2 linked regions of the Struthio camelus genome follow. The protein of the gene in region 1 interacts with the protein of each later gene in a pairwise test. Links are inferred from orthologs where the notes say so. Each region holds a gene or a part of one and is shown in the gene's direction. Other genes may lie near its edges.

Region 1 (7,468 bases):
GTGCGCGTTCCTGTAGTGTTTTATTTGGCTTCGTCTGTAGTATCAAACCAGGATATTTATTCCTGGTGTTTGTGCTAACAAAGGACTGTGTATGCTTCCTTCTCTAGCTGACAGATTAATGCTTGAGTACATACCACTTTTTAAGAAAAAAGTGAGATATGATTGGAAGCGGATTCATTTTTAAATACTTGCAAAGCTAGAGTAGGTGCGTGTCTCTTCCTGTTGACGTGGGCAGCGGCTGAGTGACTTGCTTAGAGCGGAGGAAAGGCTGCAGGTGGGTCAAGATCCACTCTTGTCTTTAGACAGACTGAGTGGGAGGAGCAGGAGGGGGGTGCTTTTGTACTGTAGCCCTTGCCCGAGACTAGAATATCTGGATTCAGTTTCTCTTGGCTTCAGGCTCACTAGGTGACCTTAGCCTGTCCTCCCATCTTGAAGTTAAAACAGTTCATGTTATAAAATCCCCATTGTTTCAGCTGCTACTCATGGAAGGCGTGAAAGAGGTCTCTTTGGGTACCTTCCTGAGTTAGAAACTATCTAAAACCAGCCTGTAAATACAGGCCTCTCATTCCATGTAACTGATAGTCTGGGGCACGTGGTCTAGTATTTACATAATAACGCGATGTTTGTTCTCATCTTCAACTTTAGGATTTTGCAGTGAACGTCATCAAAAGCACTCATGAACACTGGAAAGCTTTAATAGCTAAAAAAACGGACGGCGGGGAGATCAACTGGTAGGTGAACACTGATGTTACAGCACATATTTCTTTCTCCTAAACAAACAGGGCTGAAACTTGCTTTCCTGACCATAGACTTCCTTTCTGTTAGGAGCTCACTGACTCTGCTGGTCTTCCCCTTAAATTTGGCAACTCAAGCGTGTTTCTTGGTATTCCATTGTTTAATACTCTCGGAGGAGAAACTTAGCTTTCACGTTCTCACAAGTAACCTTTCTCTTCTAGCACGAATCTGACTGTGTCAGACAGCCCTTTTTGCTGTAGTCAAGAGTGTGCAAAAGCTACTGTGGATGCAGTAAGTACAAATTGGTCCAAGTATCCTTCCCCCAGCTTCAGTGTCGGACAAAATAAAGTCATTTGTGTGGTACCATAAGCAGTCCTCCCTCTATGAATGGTGTTTTGAATACTCGGAATTTTTCGGATGACTGGACCTGGCACCTGTTTCTGGCTGAATATGAAGAAGGATGTAGAGACAGTCAGACATTCTTCCAGAGCCGCCTCCTTGCCCTTGGAGTCATTGGGGGGATGGAATCCAAAACAGGCTTTCTGTGGGGCTGAATTTCTGAACTATAGCTTTGCTCTCAGCTGTTCAAAGACTGTTTAAGTATTTGACCTTTCAGGAGTTTCACAGTACGGGTCACCACTTCTGATTAGAAAGCCTGACTTCTGAGAGACTGGCAGCCAGGGGCCCTGGATCCTTTATGATGAAAGGCTTGAAGTCAGTGGACTGGCCCCGTCCAGATTCGGGACTCATCTGAGTCTCCCTAAGCTTGTGAAACACTGTTATTGGCAACTTGAAAGCAGTTAGAGGAATGGGACAGGAGAATCAAAAAGAAACTATCGCCTCGATGTATGGAAGTGTAACTAGAAAAGTCGTTTCCACTTGTATTCCACCAGCACGTTGTGTGTTGGTGGGTTTTTTATCTTCTTTTTAAGAGCAGGCTACAGACAAGTGCATAGACAGTGGAGCGGTAACTGTGTTTTGAAACAGATGGCTTTACAATATGAGCGGAGTGAATGGCTGCTTGTGTTTAGAGCAGAGCACCTCAGGCACGTAGGACACGTACAGAATGAGGAGGCTGAGTGGTGATGACAGGACTCATGTTGTACGTGAGCTTATTTTCTCATAGTTGTCCAGCACTGACTGCCACAGAGCAATTTATGCAGCCTAGATTTTACACTGCGCTCAGTGTGCATCTCGAAATGATGCTTAGTGAGCTTCAGGTGTAGAGTTAAACTTCAATTGCTCTGACAGTTTCTCCCTGCTAATACTCTTGTTGTTTCAGGCACCACCATGTAAAGCTGCCAACCCAATCCCACCTGAAGGTAAGTCTCCAAAACCCACGTTACGTTGCAAAGCAGAGTGGAGGCTTCCGCCAAGGAATTATCAATAGGAAAATGAGGGTCTTAACTGGTAGTTATGATATGGTTCTGGCACTAGGAAAAATGAAAGCCCTTGTCGGATCTAACTTCTGTCAGCAATGCTGTTTAATACCTGAATAACTTCTATTGTTGCCTTAATTCCTTATTTAAGTACATGAGGCTGGTATATGAGCAGTAAGTAGGAGACCTGAGATGCTCTAGTTTGCTCCCAAAGGCACGTGGCTCACGACAGGTCCTTGGAGCTGGAAGAAAAGCACTTCAAAGGACTGAAGTGTTACAATAGCAGCAGAGCACTTTCATCAGTGCCTCAGAAACGAGGCTTTTTTTTTTTTTTGTATCAGTATAAGGAAAGTGCAGGTGAACTGAAGAAGGAAAGTACCTCCTCTCCATGGAGAGGAGTGGTAGAAGCTAGTCATGAATTTGGTACTCCAGTTGCTGCTTAACCTGCTGATCAGAATCCTGTCACTGAAAAGTGTCATCTACAAGCTGGTAGAAAGGCTCTTTGCATGTGTCTGGAACGTAATGTGTCACATAAGGCACAACTCCGTAAGAAAACTGCAACTGTGGGACAAGTCCTGGTCAGCTGCCTTCCTTTCCTTCTGCGCGAGGTTGTGGAGGCACCTTATGTGTGAAATCAGGATGTTGCTGTAATAGGGACAAGACCCAGGGGCAAGTAAGACCTAACGACGCTGTCTCGCGAAGAGCTGAGAACTCGCAGCTGTATGGCTGGAGGATGCCTGAACGAAGCTGTCATTTTGAGTCTCTTTGTGGGTCACGTGAAAAGAAATTGAAGGCGCGTAATTGTGTCTTCTGTGCTGGCACGGGAGTCTGCAGTAAAATGAGTTTTACCTTCCCGGGTCAGACAGCTGAGCGTCAGGGAATCCGAGCTAGCTCTGGATTGCTGCCCTCACCCTGCATGAGTCATGTGCAGTTATCCCCTTTTGGAAGTAATGGTAAACTGAGTAAGGGTGACTTCCTCAGAAAACAAATACATGTGCAGATATCAACTGGGCTGCAAGAGCCTATTGGGAGTATGAAGAAGTTAGCCAGTGGAAACCCCTGAAGTAATATGGAGTTGAAGGGGATGCCCACAGTGCTGTGCTTGTCAGATCATACCAGGAGTTTTGCTGTGTTGGCTCACTCGTAGTGTTTATGAACACGGCTTGCTGCAGCGGCACGTGGGATACCACTGTCCCTCCTGCACACCGAGGCTGGCCTATGCACGGCCGCCTGGGGAAAGGTGAAAAGACCCCTTCTAACGCTTCTGTACTGTAGCTGATGGAAATGCTTGTCTGCTCCGCACAGCGAGCAGCAGGGAATCATCTTGTGAAGGATGCTGAGGAACGGCTCCCTGTCTTGGAGAGCAGTGGGTCATAGCTATGAAGATGCCTTAAAACTGGCATGATGAGGCCTTCACTAATGAGCAGTCCATCCCCTGGGTCCGCAGGAGTAGGACAGGTAGACTACTCACCTCAGCGCTGAGGCGTAAAATTCAATCGCTGTCTCTTAATTTTGCTTCTGTACATAGCAGAAGCGTTTTGGATGCTAGGCTGTGCTGTCTCACAGAAAGGTGCTGTGGGCTGCAGAGGAAGCACTGCAAGCGCCTGAGCACAGCTTCGACCGCTCCGGGAGCGAGGAAGGGAGTAGCAGTTGGCCCCGAACCAGATGGGATAGTGCTGCTAGGGAGGCTTGTAGCCTATGACTGTATTTGATAAGTGTGTGGCTGCTTGAGGATTAAATCTCCTTTCCCTTCCTCAACACAGTTGACAGGTGGTTCTATTACCAGAAAAACTGAAGCTGAACGACGGATGGTGGAACGACTGCGTTCTTCTCCCCAAGAAGCTACTACGTGCGGGAATAGAGAAATAGCTTCACTGTCGACAAGAAGACCTTGCCTGTAACTTATTCTAATTAGACTTGTGTACCTACCCGCCACGTGTGTGTCGGTGTGTGCAGGTCGCGTGCAGGCCGGAAGGTGCGACTCGTGAAACCGGGCCTCGCGCCGTCCCCGTAGAGGGGGACGGGGGGGGGGGCGCGGGCGGTAGGCGAGCAATAAAAGGGCTGCCGAGACCGGCACCGGCGCCGCCTCCTTCCTGCTCCCGGCCCGGGGGAGCCGCCGGCGGGTCACGTGGGGGGAGGCGAGGGGAGGGCGGGGCGGGGCGGGGGGCGGTCCCAGCGGGGCCGACGTGGGAGCCAGCGCGGCGCCGGCGCGGCCGGAAGGGGCGGGGCGCGCGGGGTGACGCATTTCCGGCGGGGAGGTGGCGGCTGCCGAGGCGGGGGAGTCGCTGGGGCCGCGGCCGGAGGTGAGGGGCGGCCGGGGCCGGGGCCGGGGCCGGGGCGGCGGCGAAGGCGAAGGCGGCGAAGGCGGGGCCTCCCCCGCTTCCCCCGCCCGGCCGCGGCGTCGAGGCGCGGCGGCCCGGCCCGGCCCGGCCCGGCCCGGCCCGGCCCGACGCGCCGCCTTCGCCGTGCTGGCGCACAGGCGCTGCCCCTCTCACCGGAGACGCGTGTCGGTTGTGTCCCTGCAGGCGCGTCGTCTTCAGCCATGTCGTTCATCTTCGAATGGATCTACAACGGCTTCAGCAGCGTGCTGCAGTTTCTAGGTAATGCCAGCCGCCCCTGCCAGCTGGGGTAATTCTTCTTCTTCTTCCCTTTTTTTTATTTATTTTTTTAAAAAAGCCCAGAGCTCCCCTCGAGCTGTAGGGCGCTCTGCGTTCCCCAGCTGCTAACTCTCTGCGCTCGTTTGGCTCCTGTCGGTTGCTGATACAACTTAAAAGACAGCGGTTAAAGTGGATCTAGTCGGGAGCGCGTAACCGAGCAAACTAGGCTAGTGTGAGGTCTGGTTAGAGACTTGCCGCTTGATAAACCTTCCCCCCCCCCCCCGCCCCCCCCCCACCGAGAAACTTTTAGTATATCTTCAAGTTGGTCGGCTCCCACCGGAAAACGTGAGGGCCACTGGGCTGACGCCAAAGGCCCGTCTAGTCCGGTCCCCTGTCTCCAACAGCAGCCGTTTCTGGCAAGAAAGACTAACAGAGTCATAGAAACGTTTACGACTTAGCGGATTGTTAATTCTTATCGGGACGTGCACGGTGCACAGCCAGATGGTTTGTGCAGTAACCTGATATAACTCAGTCTTCCCCTTCACTGCAAACATTAAGGGTAGGGCCTCTCAGTCCTGGTTGGGCAACCGCCTGTCTGCTTCCCAGACCGGTGAAGAAAGGTGAAGCTTAGGAGAGCTGGGCAGAGCAATAACGTGGTTAGGCAGCTGCCTAAAGAAGCAAGAGCCACAGAGCTGCCCACACCCTCTCTGCGTGGGCACCGAGGGCAGTGCTTTTACAGATGTGGAATCCCAGATGTGCGAACCTGGGCCTCCGAAAAGGTGAGGAGGAGCCTTTGTGGACGGCCCGGTAACACGAATGCACCTGAGAGATGCCCGAGGGCCTCGGTGCATCCTGTTGCGAGTGACTTGCCGAAGGCAGACCTGCTGCTTAGTCAGGGAGGGAACTGGTGTAAATTCCAGCCCTCCTCCTGGTATCCAAGCTAACCAGCTCCACCAGAGTTCACGCTTTTTTCTCATTGCTGCGGCCGGCTAGCTTGCTTTTCCTCGAGCTGTCGCTTCCCATTATCGAGCCAGCAAACTTACCAGCACGCGGGGGAGAACGTGCTGGCCGCTGACGAAGGCGCCGTTGCCCAGGCTAGGGAGGCCCGTGTATTTTGGCTGCCTGCTTTACCACGTTGCGAGCAGTTATTTCCTGAGCTGCGGGTGATGGTGAGCCCGTAGGAAGGCTCCTCCTGCCAAAGTCTTGAATCCAACCGCGGTCCTTGCTGGAGGACTAGGTGCCCTCCGTCCAGGGAGCTTCTTGGGATGTAAGGGAGGGAGGTATCCCATGCTCGTGCAGATGCCCCAGGCGGCTGGCTTTTGTGAGGTCTCCCTTATTGCAGGTACGTCAAGGTATCCCGAGTGTCTTCTCTTTGTAATGAACCACTGGAATTTGATGCGATTACTTTATTCCTGACATCCAAATCCAGCCTTTTCTTTCAGTAGCAGTGAAACGGTCACTCGAACGGCTTTATTAACAGTCACTTGCCTACAAAAGACTCTTCTCACAGTTTTCAGGATTTTTTTTTTTTCTTTAAAAAGTCCTGGTGGAAACATGATGGAACTCGCTTAGGGCAGATGCATACCTAGAGTTGGAAAAAAGTCACTGTTTGTGTAAAGAATATGTTGTATTGTTTCATGCTTTGCACTTTTTCTTCGGTAAACCTGCTTACCGTGCTATCTTCTCCGAGTGTATTCCATTTTCACATTTAAATACTCCTTCTGGGTGGCAGATTGATCTGTAATCCACTGCAAGTAAAGAATATTTTCCTGCACGCTGTTCTGATAGGATGTGTCAAACACAGGGGCAGTTCAGCATCTCGATCTGATGCTTCTGTCATAGACACAGCGTGTCCTCAGAGAGAAGAATATGTTATTCCAAGAAATATGACCTTAGAAAACGTCAGTTGTTGTAGGTGTTATCTTGCATTGCCTTGGTAAAAGCCAGGACGTGTTTTTTGGTGGTTGTTGTCTGTTCTGTTTTGTTTTGTTTTGTTTTCCTGTGGTGTTCTCTATCTATTCTAGAAGTACTGTCTATGCACAGATGACGGTAACGTTTTGGGAGAGGGATTTGTGTCTAAAAAGTGGCAAGTATCGAAGCATTTCTGCCTGCGTGCAAAAATAAGCCTGCCGGATTTTTTCTTTACCTTCTTCCAGGTTTGTACAAAAAGTCTGGAAAACTTGTGTTCCTGGGCTTGGATAATGCAGGCAAAACCACTCTTCTGCACATGCTCAAAGATGACAGGCTGGGTCAGCATGTCCCTACGCTACATCCAAGTAAGCCTTCCAGTGACTGAACCCAGGGTGCCCCGTGTAATTTTTCTCTTTAATTACTGAGTCACGTATCGGAGTGTGGTGTTGAAAGATGCCCTAATGATAGCTTTATGCTGCGGAGATGGACTTTAACAGCCTTAAAACTGGCTTTGAGGATGCGGTTACCTTTCACACATTGGTTTCCTGAGCTGAAGTAAATTTGCGTCTCCCTCTCGAATGTGAAACTGAGAGCCCAAGAGCTAACGTGGTTCAGTTCGCGTGAGCTTACCCCTTTTGCGGAGGGAGCGTGTTTCTAATGGGAAGAGTAATGAGGTGTAATAGTTGCAGATTAATAAGCATGTGCTTGAGTGAGGAGGTAGAAGTTTACTTTTTCCCTGTCGTTGTCAGTGGCTGAATTCTGCAGCGTACGAGTATCTTATATAAGGCGTGTGTGTGATGTTAATATACATATACCAAGAAATTCTGGCCATGATAGCATCTGTGT
Region 2 (7,807 bases), on another chromosome or scaffold:
AGGATTCTCATAAGGCTGTGTGGCTTTCAGACAGGTCCTGCCCCAGCCCTTGGTATCCAAGGGCAGAGGCTGGGACCTGACTGCCATTTGTTTAGGGGAGCGTGTGGGTGCCTTCACGGTGATCTGCAGTGATGCAGAAGAAGCCAAGAGGGTTGAGTCGCAGTTGAAGATCCTTATCCGCCCCATGTACTCCAACCCTCCCATCAATGGAGCCCGCATCGCCTCTCTCATCCTGAACAGCCCTGACCTGCGGAAGGAGTGGTAAGAGGGAACCCCTAATGTTCACGGTAGCAAGATGTGAAGTCTCTCTGTGCTAGCCTTGTGGTGTGCTTGCTGCTTGGCAGTGTCACAGGCAGTTCACCGCTTCAGGGGTACAGTCAGAAGCTTGTGCCACTCCTTTGCCCCGGAGGAATGGGAGCCTACTAAGATGCTTGTGTCCTGGCATCAGCTAGGATCAGTCCAGCCGAGCACATGTGGGTTCCCCTTGTGTTACCAGGGCAGAGCACACTAAAGGGGATAAGGCTCCACCGGGATTGAAGGCTGCAGGAGCTGCCTGTCCAAGGAGTGCAGAAGGCTGACTAACGCATTGTAGTCACTTAATATGTCTCACATGGGGGATGTGGAAGTTTAAGTCCCCTGGGAATAAGACAGAAGAATGTAACCTCCACACCCCAAGCCTGCTGCCTGGCATCAGCCTGTGCTGCCCTCCCAGGCTCTTGGTGTTGAGTCCCTGCAGGAAGCTGGCCCTGCAGAACAAAGGCTCGCTGTGTATTGTGGCCTTGCTGGGAACTGTGCTCCTTTGGCAGGCTGACGCTTGTGCCTGAGGCAGGGCCTGACAGAGACATCTCCTAGGTGTGCTGCCTTGGAGCAGGGAATGTCTGCCTGCTCTGAGAGGTCCCCCGTCCTCTCCATGTATCCCCAGATACTATCCTATGTGGTTTTGGACAGTGCTGCCACGAGCCCTCCAGGTCTCCAGCGTCTTTTGGAAGTGAGAGGTGCTGAGACCCTGTTAGCACTGTGCAGCAGCTGTGGAATAAATAAATAGCAGTCACCTCCAGATACCAGGAGAAAGGAGCAGCTCCCCAGCTGGAGCAGTAGGTTCATGCTCTGAGCTTTGCTCACCTGCCTACTGTGTGTGCCACCTAGAGAACGTGTGCCCGTGGACAGTGGTTGGGTTATACATCCTATGTTTTTGGGGGGGGGGGGAGGGTGAGGCTTCCTCAGGCTTGAGGAAAGGTTGCTTCCCAGGCAGTTGGGGAAGGAGCAGTGTCAGTGCATCCCGGCTGTGCTCTGAGTGGTTCCTGGGTTGCCTTCTCAGGCTGGTGGAGGTGAAGAGCATGGCCGACCGGATCATCAGCATGCGAACTCAGCTCGTGTCCAACCTCAAGAAAGAGGGATCTTCCCACAACTGGCAGCACATCACTGACCAAATTGGCATGTTCTGCTTCACAGGGCTGAAGCCTGAGCAGGTAAACACTGTTCTTGTGGCCTCAGGGTGTTTGTGATCCTTTCCAGATGGATCTTGACTGTGCTAAAATGAGCCCATATGAACAGTCCCCCCTCCATGAGGACCATCCTCCAAGCCTGCAGCACTGGAGCATCTTGGAGACCTGTGTCCTGCCCTGCTCCCTGCTGTGCTTATGGAGGTTGAAAGCAAATGTAGCCTGCTTATCTGTCAGAGGAAGCGATCATTTAATGCCACTCTGAGGTGACCTTGAGGGTCAGCTCAAGTGAGGTGACTGTCCTGGCTGAACATCTGAAGTGCTTGTGTGTTGCCCAAGAGCTGAGCAGCATCTTTTTTTTCCTGACATGCACCGCTGGCTCTGCAGGTAGTTGGTGTGGGTTCAGCGCCTGCTGGCATTCGGTTGCTTTTGTTTCTGGCAAACTGGATGGATTTGGACTCTGTTAACAGAGTAGAGCTTGGCCTACCTTTTGAACTCTGCTCTTTCATCCCAGGTGGAGCGGCTGACCAAGGAGTTCTCCATCTATATGACGAAGGACGGCCGAATCTCTGTGGCGGGAGTTACATCGGGCAATGTGGGCTACCTGGCTCACGCCATCCATCAAGTCACCAAGTAAAGGTGTGCCCTGGAGCTGTTGGCCTTCCCTTCCCCTGTCTCTTGTTGCTGATGGGAGAACGGGAGAGGAAGGAAGCAAGCAGAATACTTCCAACCACAGCACTTAACGCCGCTGCTGAATGTATCTTGTAGATGAATTGTTGTAGAGGCCTAGTCAAAATCACCCTACATTGCTGAGTGGGGGCACCATTGCTGGCTTCTACTCCCATCAGAACCATTCTCCCCTGCTGTTCATCCTTTCTCCATCTGCCCCAGCACCCCTCTGCAGTGGAGGAAGCAAATGGTTAGCACCCTGCTATCCTACCAGTGTAGGCACAAGTGCATCCTCACACTCATTTCTCCATGAGAAGGCTTTGTAAGGCTGTTTGCCACTTGCCAGCAGTGGAGGGGCAGCGGGGTGGGCTGAGTGGGAGAGCTGCTGAGGTGCACTCCTGTGACTTCCCCAGCCTGTCCCCGCTGTCTGCAAGTTCTGTCCTCCTTCCCCCTTCTGCTGCTAGGCTTTGGTCTAGCCAAGGGCCAGGCAGCACTGAAGGCTGCCCTCTGACAGCCAGCACAAAGGCTTTGAGGACTTTTCACTACTAAAATCTGCTGCATTCTTGGCTTAGCTCTTTCCAGCTGGGAACCTCCTCTCAGGTGTCATTCACAGTGGTGTTGGTGCGTGAGGCAGGCCAATGTCATTTCTCTAAACCTGCCTGGTTCTCCTGGCTTCGCTCCCATACTCCAAGGTGAAACAATTACTTGCCCCTCAATAAGAACATACTCTGAAAACTACTCTTTGTTGGTTTTTGCCTCTCCGAGTTTCTGTATCAACCCCATCAGTCCTCCCTGCAAAGAAGAGTCTGTGTATGTGTGTGTGTCCCCCAAAGCCATGAGCCAAGATGTGGGGCCAGCCATGTGCACCCTCACATGGGGGTGTGTACCATGGTGTCCCCCTCTTGTCTGCTGTGTTCAGCCAGACTTCGGGTGCTGTTAGAAAGCAGGGAGGAAAGATCCTGAGGGAAGTCTGAGAGCTGGTGACTCAAGAAAACGTTCTCTCTTTTTAAACTGAGACTTGAGAGGGCAAGGGCAGACCCTGCCTATAGGGCAGACCTGGACTCCAATCTTTCATCTAAAGTAAGCTGACACATGGCTGTGTTGAGTTCCTGCTATAATAGTACCGCTGGATCCCGCCCCTTCCACGTACCAAACATTCCCTCTCGGGGATGTGGCAGCACAGGGGATCTCATATGGCCAGTGAAACCCTGTCTTTGAAGGGTCCCCCACAAACAGTGCAGTTCCCACCCAACCTTGTGTCCTGAACGCGCCAGGGCACGTGGACTGAGACTGCTCCAGGTGGCAGTTAGGGTCGTGCAGCTAAAATTGCAGCCTACTCAGCTGAACGTAGCTGTTGTGTTTCTTTTTTTTTTTTTGTTTGTTTGTTTGTTCTCTCTGGGGAGAGTGTGAGTGCGCAAAGGCAGTCTGCCCTGTGCCCAGCCACTGAAGCAAGGTGGAGTTTTTGCTTGCAGCAAGCACAGGTTGGTCCCTAGGCAGACACCAAGGGGATATTTTTGTACCGAAATGAGCTTTCTCCACCCTGTGGCTCTGATCTCCCAACTGACATCTTTCTCCTTTGTGGTTGCACTAGGATGTTTAGCAGAGCAGTCCTTGTTTTTCCTTCCTTACCAGTGCAAATTTGTTCCCCTCAGAGCTGGGATGGGTCTGTCTAGCACATGCTGTCACTGCACTTTCTGGCAGAGGAGGAGCTGCTTACACAAGCCACGCAGGGCTGGAGCCTCCCGTTGCCCCAGAGCAGACAGTTTGCACTTTAACTGCAATGATTGTTTACATGGCCCGATGCCTACAGCCTCTGCCTCTCTCCAATTTGTGCAATAACCGCTTTCTGTGCTGCTGCTCTGGGTGCTGGCCCATCGTGCTGTAGGATGGTGGGTTCTTGTGCTGTGCTCCTGCGTTCTGCCCTGCTCTGGAGCCTGTCTTCCCTGGTTTCGGAGAGCCTTTTTACCCTGTATAATCATTAGGCCTTTCTGCAGCCTGTTCTCTGTTACAATAAAAATAGAGCTGGAGCACGGCGGTTGCTTTCTGCCTGTCCTTTGCTGCCGCCTCCTCTCTGAGCCACTGCCTAGGTGACGTGGCAGTGGCTTACGTTTCAGCCATAAAATGGCAACGATGGCACAGAAGAAGCTGTTTTTAGCAGCTGGGGGGGAGGGGGGGGAGACGGACTGGTGTTTGGGGGTGCTCCTGCTTCTCCTGGCCTGAGGGGCAAGGGGGCTTGGGGCCGTGTTCCCAAGGCCCTCGGATGCTGCAGCCCTGCCTGTGCCGGCGCCAGCAGCAGCTGCTTGTGGCTGCTCCGTCCCAGGGGGCAGCAAACAGAACAGCCCCTCTGTCTCCTGCCCTGCCGATGTTGAGGCCGGGCTGGGCCTGGGGGTGCTGCCGGCCTCCGACACCACACACGGAGGCAGGAGCCAGAGCCGCGGCGGGGAGCGAGGATCGCGGCAGGCAAGGAAGCTGCCTGCCCTTGCTGATGCTGCGCCCCGGCGAGCGGCTGGGAAGGGCCCCGGGCGGGGCGAGCGCGCCAGGCCCTAGCCGCGGGCGGCGGCGGCGGGCGGACTACAACCCCCGGCGTGCAGCGGGCCGGGCGGTGCCGGGGCTGCGCCGCCGCGGGGAGCGCCGGGGCCGAGCGGGCCGGAGCGGAGCGGCGCCGCGCCGGCCGCCCGGGTGAGTGAGGCGGGTAAGGGGCGTCCGCGGTCTCTCCGCCGCCGCCGGGCCGGGCTGGGCCGGGGGGACAGCCAGGCCCGTGACCGTGGGGCGGCGCGGCCCACGCCAGGGCAGAGGGGACAGCGGGCCCGTACGAGGCCTGGGGTGAGCGTGTCTCCTGCCCCGGAGCGACAGGGCAGCCGGGCAGCCCGGCCCTAGTGGGGCGGCGGCGGCGGCGGCGGCGGCGGCGGGGCGAGCCCCTCGGCTGCCAGCGCCTTTCTCCGGCGAGGAGGGAAGCGCCGGCCGCCCCTCAGCCAGGCGGCAGCTAGAGCCAGGCCCCCACGGACCCCACGCACGCCAGCCGACCCGCCAGCCTGGCGACTCGGCATCTCTCCCCCTTGCGCTCCTCCTTCCAGATGAGAGTAGCTGTCGTCCTTCTCCCTTTGCCCAGTTCTGCGGTTCTTCCTCTTTTCCCAGAAAGCTTTGAAGAGGATCTGTAGCAAACGCACGGCAATAAATTGGTTCACTTGGTCAGGAAGAGTCGAAGGAAAAAGAGATTTCTTGTGGCTCTGAAGGTCCCCGTGAGGTCCTGCCAGGCTCCCTCAGTGTCTGCGGAGGGTTTGGAGAGCTGATCTTGAGCTCAAAGAGGCAATGGGGTTAGATCTGGACTGTCCAACTCCCAGGGTCTTTAGTGATGGAAACACCAGTTCTTCAGGTGTAGGCTCTTCTCCAAACGCTTCTGAGACATCTTGTGCTGACGGTCATCCCATGGCAGGCTGGGTGCACATGGGGAGGGGAGGCTGTTTGCGGCAGCGGGTGCCGATCCTGTTTTTCTTGGTTACATGATGTGCCCTGCTGTGTGTGCGGGTCGTTCTCATTGAGCCAGTTCCTGAACTTTACCCAGAAAGCACATGCATGGCAGCTCTTGCAGAGCTTGCAGAATTTGGGGCTGGAAATCAGGAAGTGAGCTGTGACGCTGGGTCTCGTGCCTGCAGAAATGTGAGTCCTGTGATGAGGTCCCAGCTCCCCAGCTGTGTGACCAGGGCGCAATCCACTATCAAAAGGCAGTAGCGTCCTCAACCTGAATTCAGAGGACAAGAGGTGAGTTCTCCTCCTGTCTCCCTCCATCCTGTAGCATCTTTGCTGAAATTAGGGTGCCTGAGTGCAGTGGCCCATGAGCTGAGACCCAGTGAATGGATTTCATGTGTGCCCCTGTCTGATGCCTGGGTTGCTTCCTGTTAATGTAGACTGCAGGACACCAGAGGCTTTTGTGTTGATCCCGTTGGGTTGCCCATCCCCAGGCACAGAGGAGGGGGGAGCCTGCATGACAGCAAGGCATGACGCAGTTTTCCGACAATCCTTAACCAACTCATTGGGCCCCTTTTGTGTCCCTTCTAGGATCAGCAAAGGGATCTTCTGTACTTCTGCACTGCTGTGGTCCCAGCCTGGTTGTTGGCTACTACCCTGCTTGATGGAGCTAGTGCTGCTGGAAACGCTCCTCATGGCAGTTGGCTGAGCCTGGTGTGGGAACACTGGTGGGACGCAGCGGGCAGCGTGTGTTGCAGTAGGAGGGAAGGATCTTGCCACCAGACGGAAGATGGCTCAGGGCACCGGGAGCATCAACAGTGACTACAAGGACTGGGAGTGGAGTGCTGATGCTGGGGAACGGGCCAGGCTCCTACAGAGCCCCAGTGTGGAGACGGTACCCAAGAGTGGAGAGAGCCAAGGAGACAGTCTGGGGGCCACCTCCGCTCTGGGAGCTGTCTTCATCGTGGTGAACGCTGCCCTTGGGGCTGGGTTGCTCAACTTCCCCGCTGCCTTCAACATGGCTGGTGGTGTGGCTGCAGGCATCACGCTGCAGATGGTGAGAGGGCAGGGAAGGGAGGGCCCCATGTTCCACCCTGGGGAGGGGTGCACGGGTGGGAGCTGGAGATCCTGGTGAAGGATGGGAGAGACTGTGGGCCCCTGAGAGGGAGCTCTGCTTGGTGAGGTGTGGGGCAGGGCTCTGAGGGACACCAGAGGTGCTGTGTATGTTTGGGGCTGGGTATCTGGGGTGGCTTCGGGGACCTTGGCATGCCATTCCCTCACTGTGCCCCCTCCATGTTTCCTCCCCTCTCCAGTGCATGCTGGTCTTCATCATTGGAGGCCTAGTCATCCTGGCGTACTGCTCGCAGGCCAGCAATGAGCGGACGTACCAGGAGGTGGTGTGGGCTGTGTGTGGGAAGGTACCCGGAGTGCTGTGCGAGGTAGCTATCGCTGTTTACACCTTTGGCACTTGCATTGCTTTCCTCATCATCATCGGAGATCAAGAGGACAAGAGTAAGTGTCCTGAGGAAAACTCCATTGCCCTCCGTTCTCCTGGAAAGGGGAGATGTCCTTGTCTTGCACTCTGACAGCCTCAGCTCTCCTCCACAGTCATTGCTGCGCTCGTGACAGAGCCTGAGGGAGCAGGGAGCAGCCACTGGTACACAGACCGCAAGTTCACCATCAGCATCACTGCCTTCCTCCTCATCCTGCCTCTCTCCATCCCCAAGGAGATCGGCTTCCAGAAATATGCCAGGTAGGTGGGGAGAACCCTCAAAGGCTGCGAGCTGGGACAAGCTAACAGCCTGGGCCAGCTGGAACCCTCCTGAGCATGGAGACACCCTTTCTGGCCCTGACTCTCTCACCAACCCTTGAGACTTTGGACATGTCCTTCTCCTCCCTGTACCTCGGTTTCCTCACCTGGGAAACAGAGTTGCTGCTGAGCACTGTGCAGACATAACTTAATTCCTTGGGGCCTTTGTCCCTCACTTGTGCTCTCTGGAGGGAAGAGCTGGTCTCAACTGCTTTGTTTGCTGTCTTTGGAATTTGGCCACCCAGCAGAAAGGAGGGCCAGTAAAGGTCCCCTGGGACCCAGGCCCAGGCGGTCTGCAGGCCAGTGTTGCTCTAACTGCACATCCTGGTGTCAATCAGGCTGCTGGAACTGGACCAGGGCTGCCTAGAAACACTGTAGCCATTTGTTTAATACTTGCCCCTTTCTCCATCCCTGTCCAAAA

What was found.
Region 2: the proteins of SAR1A (region 1) and SLC38A7 interact in binary tests that used the Homo sapiens proteins (3 or more experiments, as listed by UniProt). The link is inferred for Struthio camelus from reciprocal best matches to the Homo sapiens genes SAR1A and SLC38A7.

The regions. Positions count from the first base shown.
Region 1 is NC_090948.1:40,234,367-40,241,834, forward strand, and holds the start of SAR1A (small COPII coat GTPase SAR1A), read left to right. Parts: upstream 1-4,329; 5' UTR 4,330-4,417; intron 4,418-4,639; 5' UTR 4,640-4,656; coding exon 4,657-4,714; intron 4,715-6,867; coding exon 6,868-6,987; intron 6,988-7,468. Other genes in the region: PPA1 (inorganic pyrophosphatase), read left to right, coding at 646-731, 957-1,026, 2,018-2,057, 3,878-3,909. UniProt on the Homo sapiens protein: Small GTPase that cycles between an active GTP-bound and an inactive GDP-bound state and mainly functions in vesicle-mediated endoplasmic reticulum (ER) to Golgi transport.
Region 2 is NC_090951.1:23,112,314-23,120,120, forward strand, and holds the start of SLC38A7 (sodium-coupled neutral amino acid transporter 7), read left to right. Parts: upstream 1-4,715; 5' UTR 4,716-4,803; intron 4,804-5,655; exon of another isoform or gene 5,656-5,870; intron 5,871-6,167; 5' UTR 6,168-6,366; coding exon 6,367-6,633; intron 6,634-6,889; coding exon 6,890-7,088; intron 7,089-7,184; coding exon 7,185-7,329; intron 7,330-7,807. Other genes in the region: GOT2 (aspartate aminotransferase, mitochondrial), read left to right, coding at 96-261, 1,319-1,469, 1,957-2,079. UniProt on the Homo sapiens protein: Symporter that selectively cotransports sodium ions and amino acids, such as L-glutamine and L-asparagine from the lysosome into the cytoplasm and may participates in mTORC1 activation. The transport activity requires an acidic lysosomal lumen.